Styela clava: one gene and its partner. The protein of the gene in region 1 purifies or fractionates together with the protein of each later gene. This does not show direct contact. Links are inferred from orthologs where the notes say so. Each region holds a gene or a part of one and is shown in the gene's direction. Other genes may lie near its edges. The genes, in order: programmed cell death protein 10-like and uncharacterized protein LOC120341675.

Region 1 (9,228 bases):
TTACATATTATTAATATAAATTAATTGGGATTGATTTGGGTGTGAAAAATTACACCATGATGACAAATTTTAGCTGAATATATTATCTACGGCTAATAAAATGTCGACAATATGGCTATCGACCACTGGTTCTCCACTCTCCACTCACTGTGTCCCACTTTCGTTGCACAAAAATTCTGTAGCCTATTAATTTGTATGCGTGTCCGTGTGTGTGAGTTAATTATGTATGTGTACGTAGTTTACGTACCACTTTGGCGATTGGCGGAACCTTTTCAACTTATCATGTACACTATGTCCTTACTTAAGGTTTTGTTCGGTCTCTTGATTCTATATTCAGTTTTTATTTGTTCGTTTTAATCAATTATTTCATCATCTGTTATGCTGATTATGGAGTCAAAATAAACTTATACTTGCAAATTTATACTAATTATACGGTAGCGGCTATGGATCCACGGTAGTTGTCCTGAATGCTGACCACTGGTGGGCAACCTTATTTGTTTTACCTGCCAAAACCAACTAAATTCAACGACAAAATTCTCCCACGTGCCAACTGAAATTTGTGAGCAAATATTACTGACATTTAAAGGTATATATATATATATATATATATATTTATATATATGAAAACGCAATAAACCAAAATTGAATTTATTCGCTTTAAAACCAATGCTTTTCTACCTTCAAAGCAAAAAATGCACAATGATAAACCTTTAAAACATGTAGCCTATTGAGAAAATATTAGTCCGACAAAACGATTTTATTACTTTTCAGTGAGATTTCTGCTGCTACATTACCGCTGACAGAAATTTTACATCGTGTTTATATTTTGCAACCTTCATAGAAATATACGAACTAGACCTACTAGCTTCGCCCGTCAGGCTACTCCTAGAGAACAGAGATTCACAAGAATATGTAGAATTAGAATTTGAAATCAATTTATACCAATATGTTAACAAACAAATCTAACTAGCATGCGCTTTACAACTTCATAAATCAGCCAGAAATGGAGAAAAAGGCGGGACAGGCGTACTATATAATAATAATGAGTATGACTTTATTCTTATTTCCCCGATACACAACATACATAAAAACATACACAAAACAATAAACACACAGAAAATTGGGAAATCGGGTTAACAGGCAAAATCTCTAAAAAGATTTAAAATAAAGTGGAAATACACGTGCCAGTTTACCCATATTACACGAACAAATATATATAAAAAAATTGTAAAAACACGAACGGAATAGTATGAAATATGAATACAACGTTTGTCTCGAGAAAATTTGTTGAAGGTTGAGATCTCAACAACGTAGTTGTTACGTCATAACATATTTCTGTAACCATATCGTATGTCCCGAAAGGATAAGTAAAATTAAATTGAATAAATAACGGAATGTTAACAAACGAAAATGAAAATAAGAACACATAAGAGTTACGTCAGATAATACCGACTATTGAAACATTTTTTTTTTATCTAAGGGGGAAAGTGGTTGCGCAGTGATGCTAACCCCTGCCCTATACGAAATGTTACGTACACACTGAATGGACTTTTCCCCGACCTTTGACCCTCGGAAAAATTTTCCTATACTTTACCATTGCAAAATTTTTGGGGCCATTTTAAGAGTGCTTTTGCGAGTTGGCGCTTGTAAAATGGGGTATGTGTTACAAGCCATCATTATGATTTATCGAATACAACAATCTGTTTTTTGAAAGTACCAGTAAATAATTTCAGGCTAGTCTATCACAGCTATTTCTACACTAATTTTTATTACTGCAATCAAATTAAAACTCCTAGGAAAGACAGAGTGATCATTGAATTATCTGATTTATATGTAATTTTCCGAAACACAACTGAAAACTAACTAATAAAGTTCAAAAACGCGAAAACGAGGTAATGTTTACAACCATACTTGAAAATCCGTCTGAGTGAGAAAAGTGTCTGAGCGGATGCGAAAAGGGGGACATTTTTACGTCATTTTTTGCATCTTGCTGATTGGCCAATGTCGCGAAGTAAACAAGGAAAACGATGCTCGGGGAAAGGTCCATAGCCCCGACCAACGACTGCCCCCGACAGAGGGCGTTCTCGAAGTGCTGTTTCATTTTTGCCTCGTCTCGCTCAAAGTCTTGCTGAAGCTTCTTTTGCTCTTTATTGTTGTTCTGAGGAAAATGCTGCCGATTTTCAGTGGTCTGGTGGTAGGGCTTGCTGATGTTTATGCTTCAGATTTAAGCATACCGGTAACTCCTCCCATACCGTATACTACCAGTACTGCAGTACCTACTCTCCAATTCTGCGATCGCACGAGAGGTTGTGATTCTGTTATTCAACAATGTCAATAGACATATCCGCATACACAATACGGTACAGGCATTAATGATAGAGTGACAAGTAAGCCAGTTGCACAGTCGACAGATTTAGATTTGTTCAGTGGTGAACTCAAGCCCAGAACCTCACTGAAAAATAGAAATATTTTGACCATTTAAAATGTTGTAGCTCCTTAATAGATACCGGTACCGGTACCATACGGTACCGGTACTTCAGTATTTGTATAAAGCCTTGGATGTAGTCTATTTGTGGGTTCTAGGAAAATTCTCCGCAGGAAATTTCCCTGTAGGAAAATCTCGCCGCAGGAAATTTTGCAGCATAGGAAAATTCGCCGCAAGAGCGTTTTGCTGTAAAGCAAGTATTTGTGATAAAAACAGTTAAGTTAGGTCTGTCTGTAGGTTTTTGCAGTATTATTTTATTTAAAAATGATTCGTTATTTAAGAGCATACCCTACTGCCCTAACCCTATAAACCTAGCTGTTTTTATCACAAATACTTGTTTTACAGTAAAATGCTCGTGCTGCGATTTTTCAAGGGTCGAATTTTTCTATGCGGCAAAATTTCCTGTGGCAAATTTTCCAGACACGATATTTGTGATAGAAAAACTTTCATGAAATATCATATTGATACATCATATTCAACTATGAGTTTGCTCTATTATACATTACCATATTATGTTTTTCTCTTCTACTCTGAAATGTAATGGGTCACGGATGAAAAGTTTTATATCCCTTGTCGGCCATTTCCTCAAAGATGTAATAAATTGGGCATGCTGTATGCTGAAGCCAACAATTCTCACAATCTCACAAACATTGGAACATGCCACAAACCAGTGCAGCAGTGGCTGTTTATTTGTTGTGAAGTTATGAATACATTCTGCAGAGCTCACTCATTTCAACCAATTTAAATTATTTTTATAATTTTTCGTTATACAGTATTACGATAATTTTGCAATGTATTGAGCAGATGGACGTGCCAATAATTTCAGCAAAGTTGACATATCGCGACGGACAAACAATTGATTTTCTTCATCCCAAGAATGGACGGGATTTAGAATTGAGCACTGATTTAAAACTATTACAAGACGATGTTAATAATGTATTAACTGACCTGGTGTTGCTTGAAAAAAAAGAAAATAATAAACCAGCTGTTCAGGAAAACTCTTCTTGCGACGAAGAAAGTGATTCTAATGATAATAACAATACAGAGCCGAAAGAGAAAAAATTGAAAAATCAATAAGTTTTGATGGATGACACCATTATAAAACCATATATTTCGAAACGAAAAAGAAAAAGTGCTCAAAAACGTGAAACGGATGTTGTAAAAGGGGTTAGGGAACAGCCGAATTCTGAAGATATTAAAAAGATATTTTTAACCGATGATGTTGTATATCAAAATACCTTGAGGAATCCTCATGGAAACAGATGTTCTAAGTTTCTCAGTCAATGTAAAGTTATTACTGATGGCCCACTATGGAAAATCAAGTGGTGTAAAAAATTCAGTCATCTGCTTTCAACAACCTCACATAATTCTATCAGATTGTATGATGTTATGAAAGGTAGTGAGATGCGTTATGTGTTCGATTCATCGTTAAGTGGTGATGCTCGTTCCTACAAAGATCTTGATTGGTCCAGGTCATCACGACAGATTGTGGCTTGCTCATTTGATAAAACGATAGAAACTTGGGATTTTTTGTGCTCAGGAAACCAATCTCTTTGTATATCATTACCAGAGATTCCTTCTGTAGTAAGATGGTCAAATGAAGATGATAACCTGTTACTCGTTGGTGGTGCAAATTCTTTTCTTGCGTCTTATGATATTCGCAGTGGTAGAAAGGCTATATCGTATAAATCTCAGTTTGGTAATCTTTTAAGTATTGATTCATTTTCCGACACTGGAACATTTGTTGCCACGGGTGACGTCGTGAGCAGGCAATCAGCTCAATATTCAATCATTGTTTGGGACTTTGCCACTGGAGCTAAATTATCTGACCAAATATTTCACGAGCGTTATTCTTGTCCGGCTGTGAGTGTCCATCCCAGTGAGACATCGTTTCTAGCTCAGACGAATGGGAATTATATAGCACGGTTTAATGCAACAAGTCCATATCGACTGGATAAATATTTACGGTACGATCAACATACAGTAGAAGGTTACCCTGTTGGTTTTGATATATCTCCTGATGGTACTATAGTGGTGTCAGGCAGTTCAGATGGATCTGTTGTGTTTTATAAATATACATCTGGTGCTGTATTGAAAAGAATAATGCTCCAAGATAATATTAGTTTTCGAAATATCAGTACCAGTTCTTCTGGGACTAGTGTGCAAAAATCACCTATTGTTTCGGTACAGTTTCACCCTGTTTTACAAAGCATGGTAGCCGTAAGTGATTGGACCGGAAAATTGCACTTGTTGAAATAGCAATCGAAAACAGTTTTTATGACATTGTGTCAAATTTGCAGAGATGACTAAAACTTAGTATACTTTGTTGCAATCTGAATGCTAGATGGAATTTTAAATTTGCATGAAAGAAGTTTTTTTTTTCAAATATGATGGGCCTATACAGGAATATTTAAAAATTGAAGGAAATCGTTGTTTTATTCTGTCCCAGTTATGCTTCATTTCCAAATTGAGCATTTCTTTGTGATGTCTGTTTGTCTTCATGTAATTATCCAATTAATTATGTCCTATACTGTCAAGTAGATATGACTAGAAAATTTTTTTTTTTTCTGAGTATCCTGATTTGCACACTAGTGTCTTTGTCATAATACCGTAGTTGTTCATTGTTATACCCAGTAAAATGATACTCAATTGAACTCAATTTTGAGAGTGGTGTTCTTATGAACTCTTTCTTTATATTGTTTGCCCATCATAATTCAATACTATTGTCATTCTTTTTAGAAATACTATTAGGTGAAATAGATTTTAATCTTAAGAAGTGCTTGATGGAATCAATCACTTCATAAATCTGTTAATTGTACGAGTGATGGCTGGATCATCAAACGATCATCAAAACTCAATGAAGCCTGTATCGGTGTCACTGCATGTTGCCTTACTTCCTGTACTAGATGAAGTAAGTACCTTCTTCATACTAGTTTTGTATTCCATGTTGTTTTCATTTTCAAATTGGACTAGAAAATGGAAATGTGGCATAGGGCAGGGCTACTCAGCTGGTGTATCACTGTCCGTATTCGGACCTTTCGAATATTTGATTCGGGCGCACCTAATTCTTTATTTTGGATCATTAGCCCCACCCCTCATGACTTTTATTGTTTTGAATAGCCCTATATATGAAAAGAACTATAACACCATAATAAACAATCTTGATCAGCTAATAATCATTAGCCCGTTGAGGAAGTGCTTAATAATGATGCCAAAATATAATTTCTGGAAACACTGGACCCGAATAATTTTGAAGTTTTGTATGCAGATTTTCGGTAAAAATTGGTGGGTTGCTCTGGCATAGGGTATTTGAATTTTGAGTAGCAGACTATAATAAATTTCTATGAAGCTGGTATTTGGATTACTATGTAAAGAAACATTAATATTGATACAATTGTTAGGATAATCTGTATTTCTCCTTGGTTATATATCATCTGTGTGCTTCATTACCTCAAGTGTTTTTCCATTATAGTGATCTGAAAGGTAGTTATGTCAACCCCAAGACGAAAAATATTTGTTCACCTTTGTGGTTTTTCAATTCAAAAAGAAGTCGATAACATTTTGATAGTCAGATTCTTTTGATCTTTAGTGAAATCATTAGTGAAGAAATGAATAGTTTTTACCAAATATTTCGGAATATTTAGATAAATAAAATTTGGATACTTTACTGATGCCAAAAACAAGATGGATGGGGCCAATTCAATGTACTTTCTATATTCCTGAATATAACAGTAATTTTTCTGTAATGTCATCACAAAGCTTTGGTAATAACTCCCGAGATTCAGAAAGTTTTTCAAAGGCTGGGGTTTTTGTGATTCATAGTATAATACAGTACTATATGTGATATAATTACTGTAACATATTTTCCTAATTTCTATATTAATTACATCAAGGTTTCTTTTTTAGAGGGTTCTATTTTTGTCTGTTAGCATTATTCTTCAGTATTTAAAATATTGCAACACTGCTATTTTGTACATTTCCAGTTCATCAGTTTATCTATTGTTAGTGAAACACAGTCACTTTCAATTTGATATTGATTGGTATACTATCCAAATATAAATAGTGGGTGGGCATGCATAGATCGAATGAGTGATGTGATTTTGTTCAAACAAGAATTTAACACAGTCATCATATCTGTATAATCTTATAAAAACACAGCCCTAACATGGCCATGCGAACAATTCTAATAAAAATTTACATCCCTCACTTGATCAGACATGATCATGAAATAATTTTTTTTATTGTATGTACTGTTACTTCCTCTTCCTATTTGTGAAACAGACACGACCCGCTGAACAAAATTGATATACACTCAAGCATGGGATAAAGAATTTTAATAACTATAATTAAATATTATTATATAAAGGTATTTAATTAATAATTTTAGGGAACGATGTCATTGGTTGAAAGTGTTACAAGTGGTATGGAACTAGGGTATTTTACCATGTGGACTACGCCCTTTTTATCGTCACTGCTAGACGGTCAATTGTGCTATTTATAGTATTGGCGAACAGCTACCATAATACTAAGCGTATATGGTTACGTAATATAATATCTTACATATGTACGTGAATCACATCAATGTCTCACTTTTGTTTGATCGATGATTTATATTGTCACTACTTCGTAATTCCCTTTATTACCTGAAGAGTCATTGTATGTTTTTTATAATCAATTTGTCACAATGTTTTATTTTCCGAAAATTAGTAGTGATCGGTTATATATTGTATTCTTCTATCAAAAAGCCTGGTTTAAGAATTATAGATACTCTGTGTTGATGTCAATATGTCCTGTATATGCTTGGTATACATGAATTGTATTAAATTATAACATGCATACAAAGTATTATTAATATTTTATCATGTACAAGTTTTTGTTATTCCCTAATAATTTAATGGGATTTACCCCAAGTTTTTAAAATCTCTAAAATATTTGAGGTTTCCCAGCCTAATTCCACATAAGACTTAAGATAAGGTTAGATGAAGCATAACGGAACAAATATATTTTTGTTTGTTTTGCAGCAAAAACCTTCAGCCATTTGAATGTTTTTAAATATTATGAGAATATATCCTAGCCTTATATTCATGATTTACAATACTTTTTCAATTTTTTTGAAAAGTTTTTCAAACCAATTTTGAACCCAAGATTAATAGTCACTTTTATTTTCAGCTTTCTAAAGAATGTGACAAAAAGACAATTTTGATGCTAAAAGATGCTTTCACAAAGGTAAATGTGAACTACTTTTTTCTATTTAGGAGTACTGACTTAATAGAATTCCAATTTCAAACAGTGGTCATAAGAGATATGGACTTGGCTTTGCGGCTGAATAATATCACTTTAACCTTACAATCTTCCCTATAATGACAAGCAGCAATGTAATTTCTGCATCTGATAAATCTTCTCTAATATTTTAGACTGAAAAGCAAGTTCCAGGATTTACACAGGAATTCTTGAATGGATTATTACAAAAAGAAGTTCCGGGAGAAATTAATTTCACAGAAAGTTTACTGCGAATGTCGGGACGTGATAGCCCAGGTAAACTATGCTTGCAAGAGTGGAGCACAGTTTGTCGTGCCTATTCTACTAGGCCTGTTACTATTTGTGTTATTTTTTCAACAAAGATAGAGAAATTCAATAAAAATTACAAGCTCATTTTTCAAATTACACATGAATCAAGATTTCATATCAAAATAATCCCAAATTTCTAATTTAGTAAAATTTGAAAAAATAACACGCTGTGTACCTGGATTTCTATTTTTGTGTGAAGTAAGTGCCATACACCAACACCAGTGCTTTTCAACCTTTTTCTTACTCCGGGCCCAACTGACACTTGATATTTTGTTGTTTATAAATTATAATTACATTATAAATTTGAAGGCTCATTCCCGTTTATGTTTTCTATTTACAATCTTAGGGTGCTGTCCTTCCGTACATAACTTGGTGGTTGGGTCTGCAGGTACAGGCTATATCTTCCTGAGAACAGTTTTCATAATACCATTATCTTTAACCCCTGTTATAAAGATATTTTTATAGTCATTATTGCTATTGTTATGCTTTTATGTAACAGAGTTTGCATTACAACACAAGGAACCAGAATTCATCAAGTTATCTGATCGAGCCAGGTTATTAAAACAAATATTATCGAGGATACCTGATGAAATGCATGACAGACCCAGATTTCTTCAAACGATAAAGTAAGATTTTCTAATTTAATATTTTTGCGAGATGACATAGATTTTTTGTAGAGCCATTTAAATGTACAACAGGATTTAACAATTTAACTGGTCAATTTTGTCAGGATAATGCCCAAAATCATTTGGTTAGGCTTCAAATTTCTGGCTTTAAAGATTAGACATTGGTTGCATGTTGTAGTTAAATTGATGGGGCTCTTTATCTCTGTGCACACATTGTTTTTACTTTTGTATAACTTCAACCTTCATATAAGCAAGTGCTTCCAAATAAAGTATATCTATGTTGCATTGTGCTATTTTGCTCTCTATTATTCTGAACTACCGTAATAGTTCAATGAGGAATTATTTTTGTATGGATTCTCATTTTGTGTAGCAAAAAAAGAAAAAGAGATTCCTGTTTCCTAAATTGGTTTTATAAAACGTGTTTATGTTTAAATATGTTTATATAAATATTCAGAGATATAGCAAGTGCAATAAAAGATTTATTGGACGCTGTAAATGATGTTTTCAAAAGATATAGCAGCAGGACAAATAGGAGGGTAAGTTATCATG
Region 2 (9,327 bases), on another chromosome or scaffold:
TCCTCCGATTTTAGACAAATTTATTCTGAGGGATTTCGCATATAATTCTCACTGATTGTTGGCTGTTTATAATTCCTATTGATTGTGAATTCTGATTATAACAATGAGTTGAAAATTTTTTTACCTAATTTACTGGCACCTTTTTCTTGTCAATACTCCAAGCTGAGGTAATAAACATGACAATACATTTATGTCATCTGGAAGCAAAATATGCACACAAATTAATAGTTTGGCACATTGAGATAATACATCATGACAGAAAATACAAGTTAAAGATATGTATGACCATCACATGGTAATTAAAATTAAAAAAAATTAATAGGGGCTGTGGAGTATGGGAAGTTCAAGACAAAGAAAAGAACAAATGTTCATAGCTCATGAACTCTCAATTTTGCCTCCATTGCTTTGTGAAGGCCAATATATTTCGAGTGGCTGAATTGGTTTACCTCTATGATAGCAACGATTTTGTATTTAATATAGCGAGATTATTTCAATTTAATTGAAGTGATATAATTTCCCAAAGCAATGCTTGAATCGTCTAGAATAGATCAGTGGTGTCAAACTCATGGGTTTTCGAGAGCCGCATTACATTTTGAAAATTGTAAAAAGAGCCGCAAACAGTTTTTGATAATGTATACTTAAAAGATATTTTTAAGATAGTTTTAGTTTGTGACATATATTGTGATGCAACTAAACAGTTGGATTAAGTTTTATTATTTTCTTCAATTTCAAATGCAATTACATATTAATATTTGCATTCCACTATTATTGCAACATTTGCAAGTTACAGTATTTATTATAAAAAATCGTAAAATTCTATGTACAACCATCAAAATCATTTTTGAACAAGCTTTGAATAAGGAAAGAATAATACATACACTAAAAATAACTTAATCTAAATATATGAACCTAAAATTAACAAAAATACTACAGTATAAACTCAATGTTTTAATAATTACATTCGTCCTGGCGTTTGGCATCTTTTTTGTGTCACCAGCATACTAAGGCCAGTCTGAAATGATTTTATAGTACTCTAACTAACGAGGCCACATGATCATGGGTTTATCTGGATCTTTACGAATGTTTAAATAATTCCAGTAATGCAAAAAAGTTACTTTTATCATTTCATGTATAGATCAGTAAAAAAACAAATGACAGATTTTTTCGACAAGACATTTCGCACTACATTGCGTGGCATAGGATTGCTTGAATTATTATTGATATTGATTTTTAGTAACTAAGTCGTTGTATAATTATATTAATATACAAACACATGGAAATTTTCTGTTCGAAGTTGGTCTTCGAATTTGTCATATTGACTGCTGAGCTTATTGTGTTTTTTGATTGTATTGATGGAAATATGACAAATTAAACAATGTGCTTCAGAATTTTGTGAAGAGCAGAAATGTTACAACTCCCATTTTCTTCGAAAATGCCACCTTCTTCGTGTACTTTGCGTTTAATTTAATTACTCAAGTGTTTTATTCAAGTATTCTTTTGCTAGCTTGATGTGTATTCTTAATTGGGTCAAAATGTGGACAAAAAAAATTAATATTCCAAAACTACTTTCAGTAAATTGTTTTCTGTGTGAATAATCAATTTCACTTTAGAAGGTTTGAAAAATCTATTACATTTAAATAAAAAAAAAAATTCCAAAATACTATTACAATTATTGTTAAGCGTTCGAGGGCCGCACTGGAAGTTCTCTGGGGCCGCGAGTTTGAGATCCCTGGTCTAGATTGAAGTTGTTCAAAAAATATATTATAGTATTTTATCATGAATGATGATTATACCCCTTTCGGAATTTTTTCTATAGTACTACCAAAAGTTGATGAACCAAATATAACACAAGTGCAGTGAGGTACCCGTAATCCTCATTTCCAAAGCTGTTTTAAGTATGTCTGGCGTGTTTTGTGCCTTTTTACAAATAAGACCGCTTATGCAATCTTACGCTTTGGAATTTTTAGTTATTTTCCTCAAGCCCTGCAGGATGTGGGGGCCATACACAACTCTACCGGAGGGTCAAATGTCTTTGCATGCCTCCATAGGTTGTTTTTCTATTGCAATTTTCTATTTTCAATTGCATTATATTTCTTGGAATCACACTGTCACTGATATGTCACCAGACTTCTGATATCTCCACGTCTGCTATAGTTGTCCTGTGAATAAATAATAGGAAATTGAGATTAGACGAATAGTTGAAAGTTTTGCTTTATGTCGGCTTAATTTCTTGATTGATATACTTACTATTTCTGCTATTGCCTCTTGTGCTGCAAGAGTCTCACAATGCTTAGACAGGTTTGTCCACAACTTTCACATCTGAAGAAAGAGAGGAGATTTATTAATTTTCGTTAAGAATAAATAAAGCAGTCTATATGATTCAGAATGGAAAAGCTAATAAATCCAATATCTCATGTTTTATTTAAAAAATATTTTACTGAATTTTGGAAAATAAACCAACTAATAAAAGGGTTTAGTCAGAAAATTACAAGCATTCGTGGCTCCAAATACTTGAGAAATCAGACTATACAATATAGACCGGTATGAGTGAAATGTTAGGTGAACTTGTTAACACTTTGATTAAATACGCAAATAAAAGTGAATGCGTAATAGTATGTTACAATGAGCAGCAATCAACAATGAGTATATATCCTCACTGATTAAAAAAATCTAACTGGAGGTGCATGAACTATTTGAAACCATAAGGAGTAAGTAAATATGTAATTTCGGCAAATGGGCAACTACGTACCGTACTGAATTAATAACTTCGTAGTATTTGACAAAGGCTGGCTTTCCCACATGTACTTAACAGTGCGATGCCCGGTTGTGATATACAACAATAGTATTCACCTTACCTTTTACCGATTTCTTTTTATCCCAACTTTCAAAAATATCATTAAAATCGACAACAACTGTCAAAGCAGGCACGAACACCATTCGTGCTACGCCTTGAAAGCAGCACACATCCGCTCGTTTTCGTCTCGTCAAGTATGTGCATTGGAGCGTGCTATCGAATACGATCTTCGGACAAAAATGCCGGAGTTGCGCATCATGTTGTTTAATGTCATTGATGTGATGAACGCGGTTGATTTTCAATGCACAATTTCTCAATTCTCGGGGCAGTTTGTGACAAGCAAATTCTTAGATCCAACTCTACGGCATATCTCGGCATATATTTTGTCATCATATTGGTAAGATCTGAAAATGCTGCGCAGACATGTAGGCTGTTTTAAAATGCAATAAATTTTAATTGACTTTTCTGACAGCAATGAATATTCGTCCGCCGCAGTCAACCAAAAATAAGCAATGGAGTTTTGATTGAAATCAATCGTTGAAGATTGACCCAGCTCTTTTCCGGTCGTTGCAGAACCCTCGAGCAGTCATCACGGACACCCAGTTTGGAAAACCCTGCATCAGGATATCATTGGTGCAAGGGCAAATGTAATTTTTACATTTAGTCTAAACAAAAGAAAGATTTCCAAATGTTTGGGACCAAATGTCCACTCATGATGATTTGAATGGAATTTCCCGCGATGGAGAAAAGGGTTTATGTATGATGTTGGTTTTGACAAGATTATTGACTTAACTAGATTTCATTTTTGGACACGTAGTGGACATAGCGATCGTTTCAATATTATGTTGTTGTTGGACATGTAGTGGACATAACGATCGTTTCAATATTATGTTGTTCTTGTTGTTTGACACAGAATAACACACCTAGTGGAAATATTAAAAAAAAACGCTTTTCTCTTCGAATACTGGACCTATTGCTTTGAAATTTTCAGTGGTTGAAGATATTACTTTTATTCATTTTAAATATGTCTGCTAGCTCTGTGAGATTTGTTTTTGTTTGCTATGACGTCATTAAACTTTCTGCGGCCATCGGACGCCATTTTGTGTCCTACTGTACTGCTTCGCTTGGTGTGAATATATTTGTAGACTGTGATCTGACGGTACGGTAAACCGTACTGTACTGCGAACAGACGTGTGCATATATTTGGGCGTAGCTCTCTTGTTTTATTTGATTTGATAATGTTTTTCTTGATTGAAACGATTTAAGTTCATTATTCTTTTATCCAATATGCGGCGCCCGAGAGCTGCATCAAATCCATTTTTCACGTAAACCCTTCCCAATGCCTTTTGTTTGTCTTTATTATTTCGAATTCAAGAGCAAATCCTGGGACAGTGAATCAGAAGTTTGGGTTGTGCACTTTTAGGAGGTTGTGAGTAGACTATATAGGCAATGGTGCTGGTTTCCCAGCTTTAGCTTTGATAATTATCTATACCCAAATTTGTTGTGTCTGTTTAGACAAAATCTTAATTAAGCTTAGACAAGTGAAAGAATATTTTTAAGGGTATTTTAATCATAATTTTATTAGGCCCAAGCCCAATATTCTGATATTACTATCGGACTCATGTTGGTTTATGTCCGCATGTTGTATTCCTAACTTAGAAATTTTTGTGACTGATGTTTGCCTGAACTTGTCTCATACACTGATACTGACAGACTGATCTTCTTTCAGCAACTTAATTGACCAGACTGCCAGAGCTCAACTTTCTGACTTTTCTATTTCAATTATATTTTCCCGAATAAATTTCACCTCTTATATGTTATACTGTTATAAGTTAAGCATAAGTTTATTTTGACATCATAATCAGCATAACAGCCGAAAAATAATTGATAAAAACAAATAAATAAAAGCTGATTGCTGAATTAGGAGATAGAATTGTCAATTGGGGATACAGAAAAAATTACGACTTCATTGAAAAACACTCAAATTTGATCACATCATACTATCTACATTTTGGCCATTGCTGCATTAAATCAACTCTACAGCAATATCACAAAATGCATGTTTATATAAAGGATGTACCACAGCTAATTAAAAAATGTAATAGGCCTATAGCTCGACTGCTCGCTTAGTTACAATAACAGAATAATCAGTAATCTTCAGTTTTGATATTTAATTCTGTAATTGCTTTCAAACTATCAACCTTGATCACTGCATCGTGTAGGGTTTGAATCAAATAATAATTTAATTTATATCCTGTTAAAATAAATTGAATTACGTGGACACAAACTATAAAAAATTTCAGTTTTCTGTAATTGCTTATCATTAATTTATGTTTTATTTACAATTCGTTGAACACCCTTAATTAATGTGTTCCACATCCAATTTAATACAGTAATACCTGAATACTGATATGAAAGCATTTTTTTATATATTACAGTTATATATACTAGTTCATGAGGTCATTATACTGTTACATCATACAGCAATATCAACATTATTATTAACATCATCGGACAATGACTATGATCAGATAATAGTCTAGATACAGCATCATGTAAATTGGTTTGAAGTTCTAAAAACTTGCAACTACAATGACAACTACACATTGTGTTCTTCAACATTGGTGAAGTGCAAAAGTACCTTTGAGCAATTTCCAATTTGAGGATATATCACCCTAAGTACAAACAGGTGAGAACAGATTATTTTGAGACAAATATATGCTTCTTGGTATTGTATCAAGATTTTGGTTCTTACAATCAGTGAACTTGCTATTTTTTTAGCATTTAGTTTGCTAGTCAATAACCATGTATTGTTCTTGCAAGCTGCTACTGTTCTCTTATGAATATATATATATTCAGATATTGGCTTTTTTATTTGGGCAAATTATCAAAACTGCAGAAAACTGGAAAATCAAGGTCAAGCTTTTAATTTATACAAACGAGAGTTGTAAACATATCTCAATGATAAAACATAGTGCTGCTTCATATAAATTTTAAATATGGGTGAAATCATAATTTCAGAAATGACTGCAACATTCACTTGTCGTACAAATTCTCATCCATTCCAAGAGAGGAGAGTTTCGTTGACGGAGCCAGCTAAAATTGGCCGTTCAGTCGCCAGAGCGCGACCAGCAGCAAACAATGCAATATTTGACTGTAAAGTTTTGTCAAGAAATCATGCCTTGTTATGGTATGAAGATGGCAAGGTAAACTTTAGTTGGAATTTCATGAAATTGAAACTTTATTAATGTGAAATGAAATTAGGTTTTGTTCTTATAAATCGGAAATGAAAACAACTTGTGTGGGCACAATGGCTCAACAGTTGACTTTGTAGACATCGCAGGGTAAACATCTCATGCCTACCATCTCAATAATTGAGTTGTCAATGCCGTAACAGACTTCCCAATTCCTCTAGAAAATAGGAGCTCTAAATATCGTTAGATACCAGCTTGCTTGTAGTAACAGGGTCTTGTTCTGAGCAAAAGACATGACACAAAATAGGTAGCCTATGATATATATTCTAACACCGTTATACGATTACTTTGGTAATGTACAAGATGTTTCATCTCAATAGTGTAGATTTGCTTTGATCGAGAAAAATAGCCTTCAATGTGATGAAAATATAGTATGCTATATCAATCTAATCTTATGTTTCTTTTTCTTCAGTTTTATTTGAAAGATACTAAAAGCAGTAATGGGACTTTTGTAAATAACCAAAGATTAAGTAAAGGTGCTGAAGAAAGTATGCCATTCGAAGTAAATTCTGGTGACATTGTGCAGTTCGGCGTTGATGTGGTGGAGAACTCAAGAAGAGGTGACCTGGTGTTTTTCTTATAATTCTAGATAGTGGTGATTTGAGTGAGATGTGATAAGTTATATAGCATTGGCTGACATTGTTAATTGTTATATTTAAATCAGTTTGTGGTTTATTAAAGATTAGTTCTGGTAGTCTAGTCCAGTTATATAAAGCAAGAATTTGTTTTTGTTGCAAGTTCCTCATTCAGATTTGCTAGGAGCAATCTTTAAATATTGAAATTACATTGATTGTATTGGTAGAAATTTTGACAGTATTATATAATATCTTTTGAGTGTTCCATATAATATTCTTCTGCATCTAAATTTTGTATTTGTTGTATACCACTCCTGTAAATATATCATGAACTTGGCTTTAATTTTGTTAAAAATGCAAGTTGTACGAACTGGAGAACCAGCCACCACCCAAAAATAAGCCAATTAAGTATCAAAAGAGAATGATGCATATTGACCGAATGGAAGTTCAAAACTGATCAATTCTAAATTAATTATATTTGATGTTTTAAATTCGTGATTTTAGGAATAATTTAGTGGAGATTCATTTCAAAATTTATCATTTTAACCTCCACAATCCACATCATATATGAAACGGCCTTATTAGGAGGTATACAATAAATAGTTGACCAATCAAATCACTAGGCTATTCATCTTAACCTTCCTGCATTTGCAAATTCAAACTCATTGAATGCAATGCAACTTGACTTCTTTATGTTTTATTTTAACATGGCCCAATTAGAATATATTTATTAATCATATCCAAACATTATTTCAGAATGTATTTAGAATTGTATATTATTCGGTTTTGATCCTTGCTTACTGTTCGCTTCTTGGTAGATATTCCTTTCAATATAACATAACAATTATGTTATGATAACTCATATTAAGTTGGAAGATTTTTTTGTTTAAGCCCATGAGCATAATCACCTCTGAATTCCAAATCATATTCTCACTTGTAAAGTTGAATTATCTTAAATTTCAAATTTTAGATATATTGAAACTTTAATATTGAATAATTAAATTATCGTAGCAATGCAGTCATGTGTGTCCACGAACAATCAAATTGATTTAAACAACTTTTGATTTTGTGGTTATACCTCTCGTAATTGTTCTAGTTCATGCCTCAAACAATACCCAAGTAGGAGTTTGAATTCATTCACTTGAACAAGACACTCAATAGTCCAATCCTACTTATCCTGTCGTAGTAATAGGGTATACACAAATGGCTCCGATGGGGATTCTATGAATACAAAATATGTCCTTGCATAAAATAAACTACATTGATTTTGGTTTATTTTTATGTCAGTTGTCAACTAATTTACTAAATCAATCAAAAGTATCCCTACTTTCCATATGCATGAACGCTTTTAGTGTTTCATGTCAAATTTTATGGATGAAAATCCAGCAGATAGGTTATTTTTGCAGAATACATTCATACATTTAGATTGATGGTTTCCTACCTTTTTTAATACATTCCCCCTTTGCATGTTATGAAACTCTTCTTTCCCCCTTGCAATGCTTACTAGCAGATGATATGCACATCTTGCATGAGGGCTCACGTACAATTTGTAATAAATGTATAAATTTGTATTACAATACTGCTAAATGAGTCAATATTTGTTATACTACACGCAGGTACAGAAGTTTCTCCCCAAAAATAGTAACATTCTTTCCTGGGACGGAAATGATTCCTGACATAATCAAATTTCGAAACTAATCTCCAATCAAATTTCTCGATTATGAAACCATATGATCATCCTTAGTCATACACACCATTGCTTACCCTCTAAGTTTAAATTACGGTATAGCATGTAATATGTGGTACATATAGTGATATTTTTCTACTCATGCGGTTTACATAACAGCATTCTATATATAGAAGGTAATATTTAGTTGTAATGCTTCAGATACTTCCATCTCTCTCAGTAAATTTACTATTTCACTATATAATAATACTATATTTTTAATTTTTAGTAACTCATGGCTGTATTGTTTCACAAGTACGTTTATATCTTCCAAATGGTGATGAAGCCAAACAAAGGTAATTATATGACTTTTATTTATCACAACAAGCAATAGTAGTTTATTCAAAAGTTACTTGTTATTAGAATGTAAATGGATGTTGATGTGTAGCATTCAACTATATATTAAATTCTTCGATGATAAAATACTATCCATGCTATTGGATTGATCAAATTTCATACAGGAAGAGTTGTTTATTTATATTGAATAGCTTTTAATGTGGGCTGCATAGTGGGCTATTCTGAATTGTTCACACCAGTGAACTGATGTGGTAGAAAGCAGTAAAAATAATGAGTCAGACATGACCCTGTGACTGAGTAATTCACACTTTCCTGGGCTGTCCTGCTCTTTGTGGTGCTGTCTATTTGACATTTACTCTTTGTTGGTGCTTTTGGTTCAGCATTTGTAGGAACTTCTGTATAGATGGTGCATTGTATAGTAGTTGACTAGTTGTATTCAAATATTTAGTCTTCCAGTAACAGCTGTTTAAAAAGGATGAAATATTTGTGATCTTAGAGTATTGTGGTTTAGCGATTAAATAAATTGGATAGATTACTCTTAAAAATAATTGGCAATAGATAGAGAAATCAATAATTTTCATGTTTGAATGGCTAGATATTTTCAAACTTGTGCCTTGTGACTGATTTGAGATATGAAATTTTTATGGATAGATGCAATAAATAGGCCAATTGCGACTGAAA

The links.
Region 2: the proteins of programmed cell death protein 10-like (region 1) and uncharacterized protein LOC120341675 purify together in Homo sapiens (affinity purification with mass spectrometry; 3 studies listed by BioGRID and IntAct, counting the BioPlex papers as one, with this or other methods). This does not show direct contact. The link is inferred for Styela clava from reciprocal best matches to the Homo sapiens genes PDCD10 and SLMAP.

Annotation. Positions count from the first base shown.
Region 1 is NC_135256.1:15,289,030-15,298,257, forward strand, and holds the start of programmed cell death protein 10-like, read left to right. Parts: upstream 1-5,220; 5' UTR 5,221-5,309; coding exon 5,310-5,396; intron 5,397-7,654; coding exon 7,655-7,711; intron 7,712-7,899; coding exon 7,900-8,020; intron 8,021-8,552; coding exon 8,553-8,679; intron 8,680-9,133; coding exon 9,134-9,215; intron 9,216-9,228. Other genes in the region: WD repeat-containing protein 25-like, read left to right, coding at 3,569-4,744. UniProt on the Homo sapiens protein: Promotes cell proliferation. Modulates apoptotic pathways. Increases mitogen-activated protein kinase activity and STK26 activity. Important for cell migration, and for normal structure and assembly of the Golgi complex.
Region 2 is NC_135263.1:9,215,387-9,224,713, reverse strand, and holds the start of uncharacterized protein LOC120341675, read left to right. Parts: upstream 1-5,242; 5' UTR 5,243-5,483; intron 5,484-5,815; 5' UTR 5,816-5,817; coding exon 5,818-6,000; intron 6,001-6,460; coding exon 6,461-6,608; intron 6,609-8,578; coding exon 8,579-8,645; intron 8,646-9,327. UniProt on the Homo sapiens protein: Associates with the striatin-interacting phosphatase and kinase (STRIPAK) core complex, forming the extended (SIKE1:SLMAP)STRIPAK complex.